Rhinolophus ferrumequinum: one gene and its partners. The protein of the gene in region 1 interacts with the protein of each later gene in a biochemical or structural test. Links are inferred from orthologs where the notes say so. Each region holds a gene or a part of one and is shown on either strand. Other genes may lie near its edges.

The links. The genes of interacting proteins can lie anywhere in the genome.
Region 2: the proteins of SP1 (region 1) and NFYA form a complex in vitro, tested with the Homo sapiens proteins (2 studies listed by BioGRID). The link is inferred for Rhinolophus ferrumequinum from reciprocal best matches to the Homo sapiens genes SP1 and NFYA.
Region 3: the proteins of SP1 (region 1) and RNF4 form a complex in vitro, tested with the Homo sapiens proteins (2 studies listed by BioGRID, with this or other methods). The link is inferred for Rhinolophus ferrumequinum from reciprocal best matches to the Homo sapiens genes SP1 and RNF4.

Annotation. Positions count from the first base shown.
Region 1 is NC_046293.1:53,251,452-53,258,493, reverse strand, and holds the start of SP1 (transcription factor Sp1), read right to left. Parts: upstream 3,003-7,042; 5' UTR 2,905-3,002; coding exon 2,898-2,904; intron 1,840-2,897; coding exon 1,685-1,839; intron 1,387-1,684; coding exon 1-1,386. UniProt on the Homo sapiens protein: Transcription factor that can activate or repress transcription in response to physiological and pathological stimuli.
Region 2 is NC_046286.1:10,792,317-10,799,369, reverse strand, and holds the start of NFYA (nuclear transcription factor Y subunit alpha), read right to left. Parts: upstream 3,022-7,053; 5' UTR 2,894-3,021; exon of another isoform or gene 2,626-2,893; intron 2,345-2,625; exon of another isoform or gene 2,198-2,344; intron 2,189-2,197; exon of another isoform or gene 1,822-2,188; intron 1-1,821. Other genes in the region: ADP-ribose glycohydrolase OARD1, read left to right, coding at 3,573-3,611, 3,942-4,086, 5,106-5,164, 6,131-6,243. UniProt on the Homo sapiens protein: Component of the sequence-specific heterotrimeric transcription factor (NF-Y) which specifically recognizes a 5'-CCAAT-3' box motif found in the promoters of its target genes.
Region 3 is NC_046288.1:86,741,058-86,748,282, forward strand, and holds the start of RNF4 (E3 ubiquitin-protein ligase RNF4), read right to left. Parts: upstream 3,022-7,225; 5' UTR 2,893-3,021; intron 1-2,892. UniProt on the Homo sapiens protein: E3 ubiquitin-protein ligase which binds polysumoylated chains covalently attached to proteins and mediates 'Lys-6'-, 'Lys-11'-, 'Lys-48'- and 'Lys-63'-linked polyubiquitination of those substrates and their subsequent targeting to the proteasome for degradation.

The sequences.
Region 1 (7,042 bases):
GACGGTGCCGGCAGGGATAGAGGCAGCTGAGGCAATGGGTGTAAGGGTGGTATTGCTGCTGCTGGTCTGCCCCAGGGAAACACCCTGCATTGGGGCCAGCGTGATTGTCTGGGCCTGTGGGTTCTGAACTTGGAGGTTTTGCAGCTGAAGAGTCTGCCAACTGACCTGTCCATTGGGCCCCACTGTTGGTGTCCGGATGATGATGGGGCCAGAGTTTGGAACAGCCTGCAGCTGTAGGTTCTGGAGGGTTTCCTGGGAGATAGCTTGAGTCGTAAAGGTCTGCCCTGACAATGGTGCTGCTTGAAGAGCCTGGAGGGTCTGTCCTCCTTGAACTAGCTGAGGCTGGATAAGAATTTGTTGTTGCTGTGACTGCTGGTTTTGCTCTCCCTCTTTTTGCTGACTTGCTTGCATTGAGCCTCCGGATGTCTGGTTCTGCTGGATGTTTAGAGTATCAGACCCCTGTAGCCCACTGACTCTCTGGGGTGTCTGGCCTTGAGAGTTGGTCCCTGCTGATCCGCTGGTGGTAAAGTTCATAATTCCCATGTTGCTGGTGGTAGTAGTTGTTGAATAGCTATTGGCATTGGTGAAAAAGGAGCTGGAACTGGCTTGTGATGATACCAAAGTGGCAGAACTGATGGCAGTCCCTGAGGTGACGGGCTGGGAGCCACTCTCCTGGGACCCAGAGCTGCTGATAGTGACTGCCTGAGAGCTAGGAGTCAAGGTAGCTGCAGAAACGCTATTAACAGGTAGCAAAGTGATATTCCCATTCAGGGCCACTGGTACATTGGTCACATACTGAGTTTGTCCTGAGAGTACATTATTAGCCAGGCCTTGCAGGGGGACAGCCTGTTGGAGTAGATTTGGCATAGCAGCAATGATGTTGCCTCCACTTCCTCGATTTGTGATGATCTGTTGGTTTGCACCTGGTATGATCTGTATTTGACCAGAACCATCCTGCTGCACTTGGGCCCCAGTGGCAGCGAATTGCAGCTGTTGCCCATCAACGGTCTGGAACTGTGGGATTACTTGATACTGAATGTTAGGCATCACTCCAGGTAGTCCTGTCAAGACTTGCTGGTTCTGTAAGTTGGAGGTGGCAGCCACAACATACTGCCCACCAGAGACCGTGCGATTCTTGGAAGACTCACTGCCATTGCTGCCATTGGTACTGCTGCCACTCTGTTCCTTTGAGGTAGGGGTAGCCCCAGAGGAGGAAGAGATGATCTGCCAGCCATTGGCACCCTGTGAGAGTTGTGTGGCCGTGAGGTCAAGCTCACTGGTGCCCCCTGACTGGCCTGGGCCCTGCGAGTTGTTGCTGTTTTCATTGGGTGATTCAATTCTGCTGCAAGTTGCTGCCAGCAGAGCCAAAGGGGATGGCTGGGATTCCTGGCCAAAAAATAAGACAGAGGAAAGGAATCAGTTCAGTGACACCCAGCTGCGGGGGGAGGGGGGGGGGCAGTATACTATAAACAAACAGCAACACAGTGCAAACAAATAAAGAGAAAATGAACAAAACGCTGAAATTGACATTTTTGGGGCTCTCCCAATCACTTGTCTCTCTGTACTTACTTCCCTATCTCTAAAAGGGTGAACCCCTTCCTAAATTCTTTTCTGTGGAGATAATCACCTAAAGATGGGTACATCCTCTCAACACCTTGGCCGCTCTGTCCTGATCAGCACTTACCTGTCCTCCTCCTCCACTGCTGCTGCTACTGCCTGTGCTGCTGCTTCGAGCCTGGGAAAAGGCACCACCACCATTACCATTGCCCCCATTATTGCCACCAACTCCTTTTTCAATCTTCACCACGGCTGTCATTTCATCCATGGAGTGATCTTGGTCTAAAAAGAATGAAAGGATAGACAACTTAAAGTTGAGGGAAGGAAAAGGGTAAAGTGAGGAAGAATAGAAGAGGCTATGATGAAACAGGCATGACTAACAGGAAGGTGAAACATGCCAGCGTAAAAAAAAAAAAAAAGGATTGGGGGAGAAGGAACAGTTGTAGAATGTGTAGCACATGAGCTAGGCTTATTGGTGCCAAAACTGGGCCTCAACTCTCCTTTGCACTAAGTTAAACTCAGAAAATATTGAAAAGGTGCTTTTGGCATAGGAAGTGTGAAGGACAGTGGGCATGTTGAAAGAGTTTCAAAACAAGAAAAAGTATCCTGGGGGAAAAAAATAAGGATAAAACAAAAAACAACATGTGGGTGGATGGAAAGCTTGCTAAAATTAGGGTCAAAAGAGATGGAGAAAGAGAAAAATTCAAGTGTAAAAAGTAACAAGAGAGGAGGGCAAAGGGAAAAAAAGTTGAGAAGTGTGAGTGGGGAAACATTTGTGAATACTGGTGGTAAGGGGCTAAACGGGTCCAGGACACAGAAATCAGGTTTCCTGGCGGACTGAGGGCGGACCCTAGAGGGAAAGGGCGGTTTCGGGGTGAGGGGCGTGGAAAGGGCGGGACAGTGGGGGGGAGGGGAAATCTACGGAAGGTGGGGAGGGCCCTGGGGCAGGCGGCGACCAGAGGGCGGACCAGGGAGGCGGTTGGCCCGGGCGGGGCCTGCACTGCTCGGGCCGCCCCCGCGGCTCCAGCCCCCGGCAGGAGGAGCCTTAGGCAGGCGGCCGAGTAGTGGGGGGTAAGGCCCGTCCCCCCCGTGGCCGGGGCGGGCAGGGGGCGGGCGAGGCCACTCTGCCCCCTCCCCCGGGGCGGGCGGCCCATCCCCCTCCTCCTCGGAGGCCCCGCCACTGCCCCTTCTCCCTCCCTTCCCTCCGCCCCGGGCGGGACCAAGGCCGCCGCCGCCGCCTCCCGCCCGCCCCCCCTCATGGCGGGGACCGCCTGGTCGGCCCTCGCGCGCGCCCCCTCATTCCCCTACCACCCCTAAGCTTGGAGTGGACTCATCCTTACCGCTCATGGTGGCAGCTGAGGGACGAGCTCAAGGGGGTCCTGTCCGGGGGGGTTGGGGGGGGCCGGGAAAAACGCGGACGCTGACGAGGCAAACGAACCCGTACCGGACAGGGAGGGGGGGGTAAGGAGGAGGGAGCAGCGCGCCACAAGCCCGGCCTAGGCCCCTCCCCTTCACTGCTGCCCCGCCCAATGAGGGAGGGAGGAAGGAGGGACTTGCAGAAGAAAGGCGGGCAGGTTACCCAATGGTAAGACTCGCTTACTCTCTAAGGCGTGTAAGACAAAGTTGCGTGCCCGGTGTCCGCCCTAAAAGGCCGCCCTCTCAATTTTCAAAACCAATGAAAGACGCAGGAAGTGAATGTGGGCGGGAGCTAGAAATGATAGGCTTGGAAAGGAACCAGTCAACTGCCAGGCGGGCTCCTTGAGAGGTAGAGATAGGAAGAGCTTTGGTTGGAGTGACAAAACAACGACCAACCAGAACCCTGGACGTGCCTGAGCAAAGTCCCAGTGGGAGGAGCGATAAGAAGTAGGCAGGAATGGGAGAGGATGAAGTTGATCAAAACCAATCAGAAATCAGGCGGGCAGCCAGGAAAGTTGTGATTGGATTAACGCTGAAAAGAGACAAGATAAGACGCAAATTGACGGGAACTAAAAGCCAATTAAACACCGAATGAACTCTAAGGGTGGGAACTCGGAGTAGTCAGAGGAGAATTGGCGTCTCACTCAGTCACTCAGTCCAATGAGGCGGCGAAGGAAGCCAGACACCGCCTCCATCTTGGCTGATGGGCGTTACTAGAGCCGCCTCTCATGGGGGAGGGAACAGGGCTGTGCCAAGAGGAGTCCGTCGCCATATTGGCCCTCCTCAGGGGACGTCTTTACAGTGACTGGGTGCTATGCTTTAGCGGAGCCCTCTAGCTCAACAAGTGTCAGGGCCAAGAAACTCAGTGTGCAGTTCTGCCTCGCCACCAGGGCTCTTTTACGTCTTCTTTTAACGTCCCTTAAAAAAAAAGTATTTCTCAAGTCTCACTCTACCCAGGCTGGGCGGACAGGCAGTCGGATGCCTCTGAACGTGGGTGTAAACCCTGAGGGTGCCAGCGCAATGAGATCTGGCGACGTTGCTCACGCCTTCAGTCAACACTGAGCTGACCAATTTGCAAGGCCTTTGTGAGATTACAGCAAACGCCATTTTATTAAATTTCCCCAAAGGTGCTGACCACTTAATTTATGGCAGATTAACTTTTCAAGAACTCTTGAGGCTAAAGTGCACTGGAGAACCCAGAGTCAAGGTCCTGTAAGCCACTTACTCCCCCGCCACTTGCAATTGTAAATGCCGTCTAATCATAAAACAAGGTAGTAGAACAGTTTTTTTGTTGTGGTTGTTTTTTTTACAACTACAAAGGTTTTAAAGGAGCTATTTCCCCAGGTACCTGAATTTCTGCTCTCCCATCCTGCCTTCCTTTTCTAGTTTTGGTGGAGGCAGCCTGGGTGGTTTGTGGTCAAGAATGATGAGGTCATTCTCTTTAGCACTTGTATGTTATATATGTTATCACTTAAATAGCTACAATTTCAGCGCTTGTGATAGGTTGTCATGTTTTAAAGTCTGGATTCCCCTAAAACAGACCTCTGCAGTCTTGGGCAGGGCCTGAAGACAGGTGACGTGATTGTTGAATGTGTTAGGTGCCTAGGTCAGTTAGGTGTTTTGCATTCTTTATGTCATGCTCATATGGAAGATACTAGTAAGTTTTAGAGATTATATGTTTTATAACTGAAGAAATTAAGGCTGGGAAGTAACTTGCCCAAGGTCACAAAGCTAATAAGTTGTAGTTCCAGATTCCAACCCAGAATAGTACCACAAAAAGTCTTGTATAAATTCTTTGTAGAGAATAAAGCAATGCCTTGTATAACCATTTAGAAAAATGGCTTAATAAAAAAAAATTTCTGCCTCCTTCGCTCTCCCATCTTTCCCTCCTCTGGCTTTTTCTTCCTAACTCAAGGAAGTCCGCTTCCCCGAAGGGGTCTGAGCCTTTATTGTTTTTTTGTTTTTTTTCTTTTTCTTTATTGTTTTTTAAAAATGCTTTTATTTTTTTATTTATTTATTTTTTTTAAAGATTTTATTGGGGGGGAACAAGACTTTATTGGGGAACAGTGTGTACTTCCAGGCCTTTTTTCCAAGTCAAGTTGTTGTCCTTTCAATCTTAGTTGTGGAGGGCGCAGCTCAGCTCCAGGTCCCGTTGCCGTTGCTAGTTGCAGGGGGTACAGCCCACCATCCCTTGCGGGAGTCGAACCGGCAACCTTGTGGTTGAGAGGACACACTCCAACCAACTGAGCCATCCGGGAGCTCAACGGCAGCTCAGCTCAAGGTGTCCTGTTCAATCTTAGTTGCAGGGGGCAGAGCCCACCGTCCCTTGTGGGACTCGAGGAGTAGAACCAGCAGCCTTGTGGTTGAGAGCCCAGTGGCCCATGTGGGAATCGAACCGGCAGCCTTCGGAGTTAGGAGCACGGAGCTCTAACTGCCTGAGCCACCGGGCCGGCCCTTAAAAATGCTTTTATCATGTTACCTTCTAGCTCCTGAAAAAATGCTGCCATACTTCCAGGATAGTTCAAATGGCACCCTCGCCTTGTACACCTTTATTAGAAAACATCACAGTACATTATAGTTAGCAGCGTCTCTCCCTAGATCAAAGCGTCTCACACTATGTCAGACAATCCCCATCAGAAGGCTGTGGGCTGCTTTTTAAAAAGGTCGATTCCACTAACAATTGTCACCCCAATAAATTAAAAATAAATTTAATAAAAAAAAAAAAAAGTCAGATGAGGTGTCATCAGAAAATATAACATAGATTCAAAATATGATAGCAGCACCATACATTAATTCTAAATCAATATTACTGTATGATTATCAAAACTTTTGTATGCTTAAATTACTCATTTCTCCATAGCAAAATAAAGATACCTATTTGATTATAAAAAAAAAAAAAAAAAAGGTCGATCCCTAGACCCCATCTCAGATGGAATAAATCCCATTCTCTCCGGTGGGGCTTGACAGTATGCATTTTGTAGTAGCTCTTTCAAGTGATTAGTCCCTAAACCAGTTTTAAGAAACACTGTGGGAAGAAACTGGAGAGAAGAAATTTCCAGAAGGGAAGAAACTTCCCAAGGGAAAAAACTGCATTAGTCATCTTTGTAAACCAAGCTGTCAAGATTGTAACAGCTGTTCAGTGCATTCAGCCTAAGACCACACCTAAACTGGGGGGGCTAACATTGTAGAGCAGTCCTCTGAACATTTCACACACATTGTCCAACTTAATCCTTTCAACCAATTGAAGAAACTGCCATCTCCTTTTACAGATGAGAAAACTGAAGCTCAGATACTTCCGTTAAATTCATGACTGCTCTGTTTAATCCCAAACTTTGTGTTTTTTCCATGGTTCTAAGCTATGCCTAAAATGAGAACTAGGGTTGGATTTTATCCCAGATACTGAGAAAAGGCTTAGATATAGACTCAGCAATTCCGGAGCCATCATCCTTTTCCCAATACTGTTTCTCCAGGACAAGACAAAATTCAGAACCTGGCTAGTGAGGGATGGTTGCTTATTGATGGTCCCTGAAAGCAAATGGGCATGATCCATCTTGTCCAATTATCTGTAAAACCTGAACAAATTTTTTTTAGACTTAACACAAAAACCAAAAATGAATCAACTTATTTCAAGGCTTCTTAAATCACTTAATTCCTAATGACTGTGTTTTAAAAACACAGTGTTTTAAAAAGCAATGTAGGGGGCGGCCGGTTAGTTCAGTTGGTTAGAGTGCTGTGCTCTTAACAACAAGGTTGAGGTTTCAAATCCAGCATGGGATGGTGGGAGGCGCTCTGTGCAACTAAAGATTGAAACCGGCAACTGGACTTGGAGCTGAGCTGTGCCCACCACAACTAGATTGAAGGACAACAACTTAGAACTAATGGACCCTGGAGAAACACACTGTTCCCCAATGTTCCCCAATAAAATTAATAAAAGGAAAAAGAACGAGTTCTATGAAGTCTTTCCTACCTCCCGCAGGTATTGAATACTCTGTCTACCGTGTTTGGTTTACACACCTCCACTAGAGGTATCTAAATATCTGATTCTCCAACTACACAAAGCAATCTGAGG
Region 2 (7,053 bases), on another chromosome or scaffold:
TGAAGAGCCAGCATGAAAAACAAGACTAAAAAGCCCCATTTGTCAAGTGAAAGAGGCCAGACTACTGTCTCTCAAAATTCCAGGCAAAGAAGTTCCTCTGCAGACAGGTGGAGGCTCTACAGATGGTCCGCAAAAAAGTAAACAGACTGTAACTGCCTTTTAGAACATCTAGCAAAAGTGGTTGTTTTCAAGTCACCAGATACATACGTGTTTTGAAAAATATCTAAGACAAATTGCCTCTTGTTTTAACGTGGATAATAATTAACTGAATTTTTAAAAAATGATTTAAACAATGAAAAATTCGCCCTAAAAAGTGAAAACAAAAACGGTCTCCCAAGTTTTAACAGTAAAAGAGCACTGGACTAGGAGTTTTCTGAAACCTAGTAGTTGTATGAGCTTAGTAGATGTGATTATAAAAACCAGCACCGCATACCTTAATCTATGTGCTAGGGATTGCACTAGGCACTTCACATAAATACAAACTGTTAACGTCTGAGGGAAGAAAATTCCCTTTGTTCCCCAAAAGAAGCCAGCCACTGTTATGGGACAGAATCCCACAAGTCCGAAGTTTGTTTTTCCAATCTTACAAAATATTCCTCCCTAAGATAGACAAGTGCTTTTACCAGCTGGCCTAAACCGTCCCCACTGCTGCCCACTGCCCTTTCCCGTCTACCCTCTGAGCACACGGCACAATGTGGTGCCTCACCCCAGGCTCTTCTCTCTGTGAGCAAGGCTCCTGTATTCTGTCCCATTAGAAGAAACCCCATCCTTCTTGGAGGCCCATCAGAAGTGTGGCTGTGTTAAGCCTTCCACCGAGGCTACTGGTAGCTCACACACCAGTACTGTACTTTGCAGAACTGAACTTGGTCCCGTTATTCCACTAACCGTTAGGTATTAGTTGTTCACCTGTCAATCTCCACCAGCAGGGAAGGTGCTCGTTTACCTTTACCCACTCCCACCCCAGCACAGAGACGTACGTCTGTTCCACACTAACTGCTCCAGATTTGCCTGTCAACAGGTATTTCTCCTAATCCTAATGAAAACCCCACGACATCTGTTGAGAACATGTCAACATGGAATTAGAAAGGATGTTATAAAAAAATAAACCAAGAGACAGCTGTGGACTGAGCTAACTGCGTCAAGCCGGACACGTTCAAAGTGACACAGAAAGGTGAAAGAAAAATGAATTGTACATCCTCGGGGGAAGGAGCGTTCGCACGATGAGCGACGGATGAGTAACCAAATCGTAAGCAAGCTGTGCAGCCTCCGGGAAAAGGAACGCACAGGGCCAGCAGTTTTCTCCAAGTGAGGTTCCAGGCAGCGAACGGACGGGCCTTGGCGCCCGGGGGAGAAAGGGAGACGGTCTGGTTGGGCTCCAAGACTGAGGTGTGCGGGTCGGGCCTGGCAAGCGGGGCGGGGATTAGAGGAAATGACGAGCCAAAAAGGGGGTGGCAACGGCGCCGGGCCGCAGACCCGGGCCGAGCGTGCTGGGAGGGACGCAGCGGGTAGGGGGAGTGGGCAGACGGCCTCCCCGCCATCCGGTCCGCGGAGACGGCGGGGGCGGGCGGGCGGGCCGGCCCCCTCTCCCCGCCGCACTCGGGCCCTGTGGGTCATGGCACGTGTCTTGCCCAGTCTTCCCTGCGGACCCAGGAGGGCGACAGACAGACCCAGCTCACGGAGGGCTGGGGTACGCGGGCCCCGCGGGGGGAGGTGTCCCGTCCCGAGCGCCGGAGCGGGAAGAGAGCAAGGGCGGGCTTAAGTGTGAGGTCGGAACCACCAGGAGAAAACCGCCGAGGCAGCGAGGCGTGCGCGTGTGTGTACCTGAGCGTAGGGGCATTCGTGGCAGGCAAGCCCGCCACTCCCGAGCCTGGGGCCTGAGAACCGGGGCCTAAGAGTTGGGGGAACCGGGACGCATCCCCAACTGGCTCCGGCACCCTGCAAGTGTTTGGACCCCGAGGTGCCTGCCCCCGGGGGCGCCATCTCCGTGCGGGGCGGCCCCCTGCAGGCCTCGGCCGGGAGTGCCCCGCGGCGCTCGCAGGCTCCCAGCCGGGGGCCCCAGCCACCCCATTCGGCTAGGCTCAGCTCGACTCCCCAGGCTCGACGGGCGCCTGGGCCTCTCCTGAGTGGTCAGCGAGACCCGCCAATCGGGGCGCTGGGGCCGGCTCTGGGCCGCTGGATATTGGCTCCTCACACTCACCGTGCCTCGCTCCCCCGGTTCGCTGCCCGCGCTGATTGGCTCCAGTACCGGACTCCGAAACCCAATCAGAGGCTCCAGCCGCCGCTGCCGCCGCCACTGCCGCTGCCTCGCAAAATGGCGAACCCGAACAAAGGGGAATCGGGCCTCCCTCCAACCGCCTCCGCGCAGGCGCCTCTGAGGCCACGCCCCCTAACCCCCCGCTCGGGGCTCGCCCCACCCCCGTTGAAAGAGCACTGCGCAGGCGTCCCCTTAAACCACGCCCACTTTCCTAATTAGGTACCACTACCGACCGGAGGAATACGCAGGCGCCCTGGGCACGCCCCAAACCGTGCGACTCCAAACACCGTTCTGAACGCAATACTACGCAGGCGCTAACTAGCTTCTTTGCCAACCTCCAACCCCTTTCTATGCGGCCACTGGAGACACACCTCTGGGGCTAATGCGCAAGCGCCGTTTTTCCCCCGCTCGAGGTCGGCTGTCTCGTTACGCATGCCCGGGTGGCGGCAGGAGACTCCGCAGAATTCACCGCCGGAAGTTCGGCGGCCATAACCAAAGAGTGCAGTTTCGGCTAGCTAGCTAGAGGGGCTCGTTTCCGCATCGCTCCCGGGTAGTGGGCGGCCATCTTAGGTGCGTGCAATTAAAGGGCTGTGGCGGGATTGGCTCCGCGTCTGGACTTGTCTGCTGTTTCCCACCTACCAGGGCCGGATCTGGAGCCCTTTCCCGTGGGGCGGGACCTCGTAACGCCGACTCCAGGTGAAGGGTAACTGGTACGTTGGGGCGTTGAGCGAGCCTTCCCGCTCCTTCCCCCGGGACTCCGGGACAGGCTCTGCACCTCGCTGACCCGCCGTAGGGTAGGAAACAGAGAATGGGAGGCTTCTCTAGACTTCTTGCCCTACCCCCCAAAAGGGGAGGAAGCCTTTCTTGAGAGGCCACCTTTCCTCTCCTCTTGCCTACGGCCGGGCAGTACACTCCCCCTGGTCCGTACACTCCCTAGTTGCGGCCCCAAGCCCCTCCCTTTTTCTTGTAGGCCAAACCTACTGAGTTTAAGGAGCCCGTCCTAAATCCGCCCGCCTCGGGCGCGGGCCAAGGAGGAGGCGTGTCGTGGGGCCGCCTTTTCTTCGCTGGCGGAGCGGGGCGCTCCAGGAAAGCGCGAAATACTAGCGGGCCTGGCTGCCTGCGAACCTAGGCAGGCTGCCTCGCCCCAGAGCACTTCTGTGTTCCTTCCAGAGGCTGAACGAACTCACTTTCAGTTGGGGCAACAAGGGGGTGGTCGGGGCGATCTGGCTATAATATATTCAGGCTGCCTAAGCATTTGTCCTTTTCCCTTCTCGTAGCTGAAGAAACATTTTAATTCTGGAGATACCGACTCAGTATCATGGCCGGCAGCCCTAATGAAGATCCAGAAGGAAGCAGAGTGGGTAACAACTGTTAACTTAGTGGTGAACTGAAATTCAGAATAATTGAGGTTACAAGCATAAACACTTTTTAATTAAACCAATAATTGAATTGTCTTTTTCCCCCCCTCTAGCTGGTTTACTTCAGAAAGGCTAATACAACTTAGGCAGAGACCGTCTGTCACTTTTCTTTACACAAGCTTTAATTCATTGTGGTTAACCCCTTAAATTCTGAGGATTTGGCTTTCAATGAGGGGTGGGGCGGAGGACACAGTAAAGGAAAGTGAAAGTAATAGTGTAGTATTTTTCAGTATCTAATAAAACATTTTCTTTCCCTTTGCCCGTTTCAGATCACTTATGTGAAAGGAGACCTTTTTGCATGCCCCAAAACAGACTCTCTAGCCCACTGTATCAGTGAGGATTGTCGAATGGGGGCTGGGATAGCTGTACTCTTCAAGAAGAAATTTGGAGGGGTGCAGGAACTGTTAAACCAACGTGAGTTTTGAAAACAGTTTAACTTGCCCTCACTAGAGCCTCTTTTGACTGTGTTATATTAATACTTTAATTATTAAACAAGATACATATGCAAAGAGCGAGTTCATAACCACGGAGTACTTTTAACTCATCAGATTCAGCTTTTCCTCCACAAAACTGGTCTCTAGTTTGGGTCCTTATCACACCTAACCTGAATTCTTGTAAAAGTCGCTGATCTCTTCCTCCTCTGTCATAAAACTGAATAATACTCCACTTCTCGGAAACCCTTAATAACACTGGAGTGCGTAGCAAAGTCCACAGGCATTAGCTTGGCATTCAGAATCCTCTGTTCACGGATATCGCATTCAGGAGTTTAGAATCCTCCGCTTCCTTATAGACCCCCCCATCACTTTCTACCAATGATTTTAAATCAGAGATGTGTATCAGAATCATGTGGAGTTTCTGGAACAGTTGCTCAGACCACAGTCCAGGCTTAATCAGGGTCTCCACTGGCAATTCTGATGCCAGCCTTTAAAAGAGCAATTTCTTATTGCTTTGTATTGTTATTTGTAAACATGACACCTTTTCTTGATTGAAAACTCATAATAATTAGGAACCTTTTTATACACCTGTGGTCTCTGTAACGCTTAAACGTTAGCTCTTTGTATGTAAAAAGATCATTATTGAATGAACACACAGTTGGCAAATGAAAAATGCTGTACATTCTAAAATATTTCAAGGCAAAAAAACTACACATTAAAGTTTTTTAAGTGAACAAATAAGGGTGTATTTGAAAATAAGGGCAGGACAAAAGATAGGGGGTGAGGAAAACATTGAGAAAACATAATTAAAGAAGGTAGAAGTTAAGAAAATGCAGTATTTAGGAATGCTGATAAGAAGCAAAGTGTTCATAGGAGACAATAGATTTCTTTAGATTATTTCCAGTTCTGAGGTTAACTCAGATCTGTAAAGATTTCTTAAAATCTAAGAATGGAGATAAGTGTTTTGATTTTCCTTTCTATGAAATAACTTTCTCTTAGAAAAGAAATCTGGAGAAGTGGCTGTTCTGAAGAGAGATGGGCGATATATATATTACTTGGTAAGATAACTCTCCGAGTTGTAAGGGTTGGTGACCCGGGGAGCTGTGCGGAATTTGTGTTGATCATTCTAGACGGGCAAAGACATCAAAAAGCCTCTGATCTCATGCCAGCTCAGATCCAGTGGTGGTGGTGATTTGGAGCTGTGGGTTAGAAAGGAACATGAAGCTGCATCCTAGTTCCATGGGAAAGAGTATTGTGACATCAACCAAAGGTCTGTGTTCTAAGATTTGCAAAAAGTTAGGGATAACTAGTCATAGTGAGACAGAAACGAGACATTGCTCAAAGGAGTTTTTCCTCTCATTCTTCCCTATCAAATGCGCTTAACTCCTTTCCTTCCTCTGCCTCAGTGTGAGATTCTTCCACTGTCCAAATGGTTTTCGGCCCCAGAAAGAGTGTGGCTTCTTGGTGATGGTGCTGGGTGAGTTATAGGCAACCCACTAGAAGCTTGTTTTGGACAGCACACTGAGTGGGTTCATGAATGCTATCTTTAAGGCTGATGTTATTCCCAGTATTATTTGGGACGCTACCAGTTTCTCTGTTCTTTTATAGAAAAACAAAAAGCAAGCAAGCATGGTTTCTAAATAAATAGACGGAACAGGAAATTTTCAGGTAGTATTCGGTTCTTCCTTTAACTAGAGATTTGCAGTTTATCTCTTGGAAGTGGCACAAAGACTTTCACCTACCTTGCTGAAAAACAATAGACAGTAGGCACAGCCTGTTAACCTCCTGGGCGTCTTGAGAAAAGGAAAGATTATTATGTGGCAATGTCTGGGTTTCTTAGGCCCTATGTAGTGGATTTTCCTGAGGACCTCCCATCACTGAACGGGACACTATTTTTCATCCTTGCTCTAGACTATTCTATAAAAATGCAGTCATCATTTTATCAGGATGTTGGGAGAATGTGATGGCTTTCTTTTGCTATCAATTTAGACTAATAGAAGTTTGAATTCTTTCTTTGTACTCAGATTACAAAGAAAAGGGCTTCACACAAGCCAACTTACGAAAATTTACAGAAGAGTTTAGAGGCCATGAAGTCCCATTGTCTGAAGAATGGAGTCACCGACCTCTCCATGCCCAGGCAAGGAAATCCAAGGCTCTAAGTGAAGATTTACTTGATTGGTGGAGGTTACTGTCTTATCCAAAAACAAATGGCTTAAAAGCTTAATCCAAAATATGGACTTAAAGGTGGACAATTTCAAAACTTTAAAAAATCGCCAGTGAATCAGTTGTCAGACCTTAGGCTAAGGCCTACCCATTTATTAGTATAGGTTGAAAGAATCAGGGCAATGAACTTAAAACACACACCTGCCTCAGCCTATGTAGTAGGGAAGAACCATTGTTCAATCACATTTAAATTGTAAACGATCACTGCCTTTTAAACTGCATACTTGTTTGTGGTCACCATGGGCAGTTAGCCAGAGGCCAGGTCACATCAGCTGGGTCCTGGATGTGACGTCTTAGACCCTACCTATTGGGAACTTAAGGAGTGACATTGAGGGTTCAGTATCCCCTTTACCTCCTTTTCAGGCAATAGGCTTGGGCTCACTTCTCTTGTCAGTCTAATTTTAAGTTAGGGCTGACCGTGCATGCAGGTTTATTCCAAGGTCCAAGGCTACAGGGTCCCTCATCTTACACTGGTCTTTACTGTATTTATGGATTATGAATCAGAAACTTTTTTTAATCACAATTTTTTTCAGGGACTTAATCATCACGTATGAAATTAGCAAATTTTTTTAATTTTAATTTTTTTTATTTTATTGGGGAACAGTGTGTTGCTCCAGGGCCCATTAACTCCAAGTCGTTGTCCTTCAATCTACTTGTAGAGGGCACAGCTCAGCCATGTCCAGCTGCTGTTTTCAATCTTAGTTGCAGGGGGCCCAGCCTACCA
Region 3 (7,225 bases), on another chromosome or scaffold:
GAAGAAAGATGGAGCCTGAGGTTCAAAGGCTAGGTCTGCTTACCACCTGTGTGACCTTGAGCAAGCGACCTGACCGCCCTGTCTTCAGGACAGGTGAAATGGAGCGAGCCACAGCTACCTGGCAGGCGGGTCTGCAAGAGCCAAAATGGCGGCTGCTCAACAGCAGACGCCATCCCATTGCGAGCCAACAGCCACCCCTACAGACAGCTGCATCACGCTCCTAACACGGGAAGACCTGTCGTTCCGATTCCAAAACAAGGAGGCATCACCCTTAGTAATGTCACGTGGACATTGTTTCCTTTTAATTGTAAGTTTGTGAATGTCAAACCAACCTATAGAGAAAGCCAATTTACTCAGCTATCTGGAGGTGCATCCGTTCTGCAGTGCGTACCCCAGGAGACCACGTGGCTTCTTAAAAAGAAAACTCCCAGAAAGCCTTATGGTCACAATTTCTCTTTTGCACAAGAAAGCTACTGATAAGACTCAGCTTGCATCTTTTCCAGGCCTTTCCTATTCTGCATGGTGTGGTATTCCATAAAAGTGCCAGTTCTTATTCACACCCCGAAAAAACACTTGCAAGGAAATCCCCAATCCAGGGAGGGCACCCTCCGTCCTGACGCCAGGTCTCCTTTCACTTGAAATCTGACCTCGGGGTACAGCATCTGGGGCTCTGGGGCTCCCTCCTTCAGAGGAAACCTCAAAATGCCTTGCTCTCAACTCCCAAAGTCCTGCTGAAAAACCAGCTATTTAGAAAAGACAAGTCAGAAGGGCACACACGGGAATTATATCTTAGTAACAAAATCAACCCTGTAATATTATTCTACCGGAGCCTTGTCCTTCAAGGATTCCTACTTTGGGGACAATGTCTTTGGGGACAATGAAAGTAGGGCAATTGTTTCAAGGTAAGAAATGTAACACACATAGAACATACCAAGCCATTTTTACACAGCATACAAAGCAATCACCTCGTGCACATATTTTCCAGAAATTGGGGTGTGGGGGGGTAGAGACTACTAGATGTGGACTTTGCTAACAGCCTGTAGTAAAGAGGCTTTAAAAACTGCCCTGACTGGCTGTGACTCCCTCATCCAAGCAACCCTTTTCTCACTTCCTAACTGGTCCCAAGGCCACCAGTCTCGGCCACATTTCTAAGCCATCCTTCTCATAGCACAGTGATTTTTCTAAAATGCAAATGTAACTGGGTTACTTCCCTGATTAGGACTCAATTTAGTGATCTCCCACTTGGCCTTAAGACAAATTCCGAATTCCTCAGCAGGGAGGTACACCAAAGACCTGAGACCTGGTTCTTGCTTACCTTTCCAGTCCCATCTCTTGAACAGTTTGTATTTCCACTTCAGGGAACTTGTCTCCTTCCCTCCACCCTCAGGCCTCAGCCCCACCAGGTCCTGTATTTTGTTCACTGCTGTACCCCAAGCAGGAAGCTTGGCACACACAACCTTAAAAATGTGATTTAGAATATGCATCCTCAAATGGGAGCAAAAAGATCTCCCTCTTTTTATGGAGAAAGCATAGATATGCATACAGTACACAAGAAGGCATACATGTAAGCAGCACCAAAATTTCAAGAGGGCAGTTAGAAAAACAATGTCTAAAAAAGCTGGAGGGGGTGATCATTGTAAAAAGGTTAACACTGTATAAAGCAATATTTGTGAATAAGAGTTGGAAGCTCAAGTTCAAGCAATACAAAAGCCAGCAATAATACATCTTTCTTGATGGGAACTTGAATGTTCCCATCTCATCTCAAATTCATAGATAAAACTGAACCCAACATGTCTCTCCCCACACGTTAAAAAAAAAAATCACTAGAGGAAGAAAAGAAAAAAAAGACTTCTTTCATCGTCTCTCCTTTTCATTACCAGAGGTCCCAAAACTCCTGGTCACTGAACTCAAAGACCTAATCCTGCAGTTAGGAAAACGCGGTTTTAGATTCATTCCGCCGGCAGCTAGCTGGCTGTGTGACCTTGGGCAGCCCGCCCCAGTCACCCCAACCACTGAGGCAGCCTAGGCTGACTGCAGAGCTGAGACCCTAACTCTGGCTCCGAGGACTTGCCGCAGAAGCAGAACAAAGGTATGACTGCGAACGTCGATGGGCACGGACAAGGATAAAAGCCAAAACCCCACAAAAACGGCTACCGGGGGCTCCAGTCTCCTCCCTCGACGGGTCAAAGGGTGGAAAATGGCATTCACTGAGGACATGTTTCAGGTCTGCAGCCTTAGCGTCGGACCCTGATTCACCTTCAGGCACCTAAGGGGCGGGGTCTGGGCCACCGGCCCCAGCAGTCACGGGTTCCTCCAACCACCGGAAGCTGAGGACTGACTATGCTCCGGCCCCGGGCTGAGCGCCCCCTGGCCCAACTCCCACCTCCCCCAGCAGTGTCCAAGTCCACAGGAGGCTCCGCCACGCGGTTCGCGCTGGCTCACAGGCCCACGATGGCAGGGCGGCGGCGCGAACACACAAAGGAGGCGCTGTCGGCGGGGAACAAAAACCTTGCCTAGGTCTCCCCGGAACGGCCCACACAGCCCCCCGCCCTGGGCCGCCCTGCCCGACTCCCCGAGTGACCTTGGGCGCGTTCCTCCCCCTCCCAGCCTGTTTCCCCGGCTACTTTGCAGACTGAGCGCCGTGGCCGCTGCCCGCCCCGGCAGCGAAAAGCCAAGGTGGCCTCCGCACTTGTTGCACGGGCCAAACCGGGCTCGTGCAGCCGCGCGGACGGCGGGCGAGCCCAGCCTGCGGTTCCGGGAGAGGCCCGGTCGGGCGTCGGGGCCCGAGCGGGGTCGACCGCGCTAAGGCGGCTCCCTGGGCCGCGAAGCCGCCCGAAGCCCGAATCTGCCCGGCCTGGCTTGCCGCTCCCTCCCCGCGAAGCATGGACGTACTTGAAACTGGTTTAGTCCGGCAGGCGCCACCGCCGACGCATTCGAGGTAGGATGCACCTTCGAAAACTGCTGCTGAGAAGCCCTCCAGCGACACACCGCCGCCTCAATACCGATCCACTTCCGCTCCGGAGGCCTCAGCTCCGCCCCCCTCGCATCACCATTGGATGCCGCCGCCCGTACTCCCGCGTTCTACGGGTCGAGGAGGTATATTTTCAATTCTATTGGACAAAAAAACCATCTATTACCACTTTGAAAAGCGCCTTGTTCCGGCCCCGCCTACGCCCGTGAGCTCAAACTCCCGTCTTCTCGCGAGAGACGCGGTCGGCGCCCCAGCGCTCGCCCGCAAGACCTCTCGGGAGTTGTGGTCTGCGAACTGACACGGCCGTCGGGCAGCTCATACGCGTAGGTGAACGTTAGTTCAGGCCAGCCGTCCCGCGGCGCAAATACCCGGTACGCTCAGGCTCCGCTCCTGGCGTCGCTTTCCTCCCGTTAGTGAGGCCTTTGAGAGCAATGTTCCCGGGGTCTCTACTATCACCCGGAAAGTGGGCCTGGATCTGCAGCTCCTGCAGGGCACCTGCGACCCCCGGCGTGCCAGGCCCTAAGTCGGTGTATGGCCCCGTGATCCCGGACTTTCTCCCAGGCTGGTGGTGGAGACCGGAGGGAACCACAGCCGGTCCATCTGCGGGAACCCGGAAGAGGCACTCAACCAGAATTTAAGAGGGCTCCCCGGAGGAAGCGACCTCGGAGCTGAGAACTGGAAGGACTAGAAGGGAGAAGAGAGTTCCAAGTGGAGGGAACCCGGGTCGGGAGAGATGGGCTGGCATGTCCAGGAAACTGAAGGCTGCCCAGTGTGCCAGGAGGTTGGGACTGGTGTGGGTCGGGGGAGGCAATTAGATCTTGGAGGTTAGGAACCCGGTCCAGATGTCAGGTTAAGAGTCTGGATTATCCCTACCTGAGGCAATGGGTGTCAGGACCCGAACGACTGAACCCTTTCGTGGAGGAGCACTCTCATCCAGGTCTTGCCAAAGTGCGGCAGAAGCCTGGAGCTCTCAGGGGCCTCTGGTGCAACTCCAAGGGTCAAGAGAGTGCAGGCCCTGGATCCCTCCTGCCTGAGTGAGAATCCCAATTGTTTAAGCAAGTCTCACCAGTTATGTCACCTGTCATACGGGCATAATAACAGTACCTACCTCCGAGGGAGAAGGTGGCGAGCTGGAGGACTCAGCATAGCACTGCACAGGTGCACGCCAGCCCCTTTGTTCTGAGAATACCAGCTCTCAGGCCACCGCCATAACCTTTGGTCCCTAGGCGCCTTCAAGCAGTGAGGAGGTGACTTCAAATGCCTTGGCATGGACTGTGTTCTGAGAGGGGATCTTTAACCCAGAAGGTTGAATCATATATGGAACCGACTAAGCAAATCAAAACCAGACATTAATATTTTTGTGTTGAGGGGCCGACCTGGTGGCTCAGGCGGTTAGAGCTCCATGCTCCTAACTCCGAAGGCTGCCAGTTTGATTCCCACATGGGCCAGTGGGCTCTCAACCACAAGGTTGCCAGTTCAACTCCTCAAGTCCCACAAGGGATGGTGGGTTCCGCCCCCCTGCAACTAAGATTGAACACGGCACCTTGAGCTGTGCTGCAGCTGAGCTGCCGGATGGCTCAGTTGGTTGGAGCGTGTCCTCTCAACCACAAGGTTGCCGGTTTGACTCCCGCAAGGGATGGTGGACTGTGCCCCCTGCAACTAGCAACGGCAACTGGACCTGGAGCTGAGCTGTGCTCTCCACAACTAAGACTGAAAAAACAACAACTTGAAGCTGAAGGGCACCCTCCACAACTAAGATTGAAAGGACAACAACTTGACTTGGAAAAAAAAAAAAAAGTCCTGGAAATGCACACTGTTCCCCAATAAAGTCCTGTTCCCCTTCCCCAATAAAATCTTTAAAAAATATATATTTTTGTGTTGCGTTTATAAACAACCTCTGTGTTTAAAACGTTATGTAATTATAAGAGAATTTGGCATGGTAGAGTATAAGATAAACCTGATTTCCAGTGTGAACTATGTGGTTCAGTATTTAATTTTGATAGTGATTTTAAGTTGGAAGGTACAAGATTTTCCAAAGTTTGTGATCATAATTAGAATGTTAAAGAGAATTTAGAAGTTTAAGAGAAATGTAGACATTTAAACATCTATAGGAATTTTTAAATACTTGGTGGAGGACAACTAAAATGCTAAAATATAAATTTAGATTCTACATGTATACATGCAGTTTAAATGTTAAAGGAGATTTCAGCTTATAAACGGGACCATACAAGACTAATCAAAATGACAGCTACAAATGACCAGATTTATAAATAAGATTGTAGTTTGAATATCACAACCTAGTAAGAAAAGCTAGAGATTTCTATTTGTAACTTTTAACACATTAAAGATGTGATGTTGAAAAACAAAATCATGACAAATACCACTTTCGTCCTCAAAAGCTGCCCTCAAGTCCTCTCCAAACCTCACTTGACACTGAACTTCTGTGAGCATCCCTGGCTCCCTCACAAATCGTGCTTCCCTCTGGTCCTGAACGTCCCCAGCTTAGAGAAAAGGCTGGCACCTCAGTGCTCCCATGGTGCCACACAGCTAAGTGCAGATCCCTGGGCCTCACAAATGAATCTCTGGACGAGGCCTGAAAATGTGCTTTTTAACTTTCTCCAAAGCCCCCCACCCAAGTGAGTTTCAGATATTGTCAGTGCGAGTCCTTTGGCTGCACTTACGTAGAAAACACACGTTAGCAGAATGTCAGTTCCCCAGATGGTCCAGAGAGAGCTTTCTCACACCAGCTGGACCTTATCTTCCCTGGCTAGCCCTCTCGCCCAGGAAGCCTGCTTCTCTCTCCAAGGGTTTGTGCAGGGAGCAGGGCAAGCATCCTCAGCTCCTGAGGGCACATCAGTTACCTGTTGCTTTGGGAGAAACCTCAGAGCTAAGTGCTTTGAACAAACAGGCATTCATGGTTGCTCATGAATCTACAACTTAGTTTGGGGGGGCATGGGGAAGTTCTGGTCCTGGCTGGGCCCACATGTTGGAGTCTGCTGGTTTGTAGGGTGGTGGGGGATGATGGCCTCTGATGGGCCAACTGGCTTTCCTCCCCATGGTACCTCATCCCAGCAGACCACCTAGGCTGGGCAGGGTTTCAGAACAAGAGGGAGCTCCAAGGCCACTTGAGGCCCAGGCTCTAAACTGGCACACAGCCACTTTTTCACCCTATTGGCCAAAGCAAGTCAAGGGCTGGGGGAAATAGACTCTGCCTCCTGATGGGAGGTCACAAGGTGAGGGACATGGCTATGGGAAGACATTTTGCCATCAATCTACTGTGCAAAGCATGCCCCCGGCCACAATCTCAGGGGCTGGCCCAAGGCCTGCTCCCGCCCAGGTTTGTCTGGAGCAGAAGGTCCAGGTACTTTCGTGGCAGCTCCGAGCAGGTGACCAGTACAACAGGGCAGGTAGGGACCTTGGGGACCACCAACCAGCATTGTCAATAGCAACCAAATTGTTTGGGCCACAACCTCTGTCCCCTCTGCTCCAGAGGCTGGTCTGATAGGAGGAGGGTAATTCCTCTCTTACCACAGGGCTGGCTATGGGCACCCACGCAGACCTTCCCCTACGGCAGGAACTGGCTCAGCAAAGCACGGTCACTTCAGGCCAGTGACACTGAAACAGATGTTCACAAGGCTCCAAGGACAGAGAGGCTTACCTCCTATGAGAGCACCAGGAAGAGGTGGCTCTTCTTTCTCTGGATGTGGTGAGGCTGGAGCTGCTACTAGCTTGAGACAGAGCTCCTGGATCAGACCTGTCCTGAAGTCAAGCCTCCTTTGGGTTTACCAATTCTTAGAACTAGTAATTCCCCTTTTGAGTCCCTCCTGAGGGACTCTCTGGACAGGTTGCCATCAATGTATTCCCTTGGTATATGAAATGGGTTTAAATCACACAACACAGGATATAAAATGTCATGTTTATTTCTTTAAATGAAATGCAATCTGCTCCCAGCTCTAATTGGACCAGGAAGTTGGAAATTCCTCTTTTTACCAACCTTGGTTGTGGAAAAGTCCTGGGGTTCTGATGAGGTTCAGGGTATTGGGCGGGAACTCTGCTCTTTATCTATTCTGTTCTTGTCACTTCGAAATGCCCCCCTTCCTGATTTGAATGTGCCGTGGGGTCGAGCCTCGTCTGCTGAGGTGCCTTCTTCTCTGCAGACCCAAGAAGGATGGGGGGGGCAGGGATCTCTCCCCTGGACATCCACCCACCTGGGGGTTTCCAGCCCCTCCCTTACTGCCCCGCACCCCCTGGGCT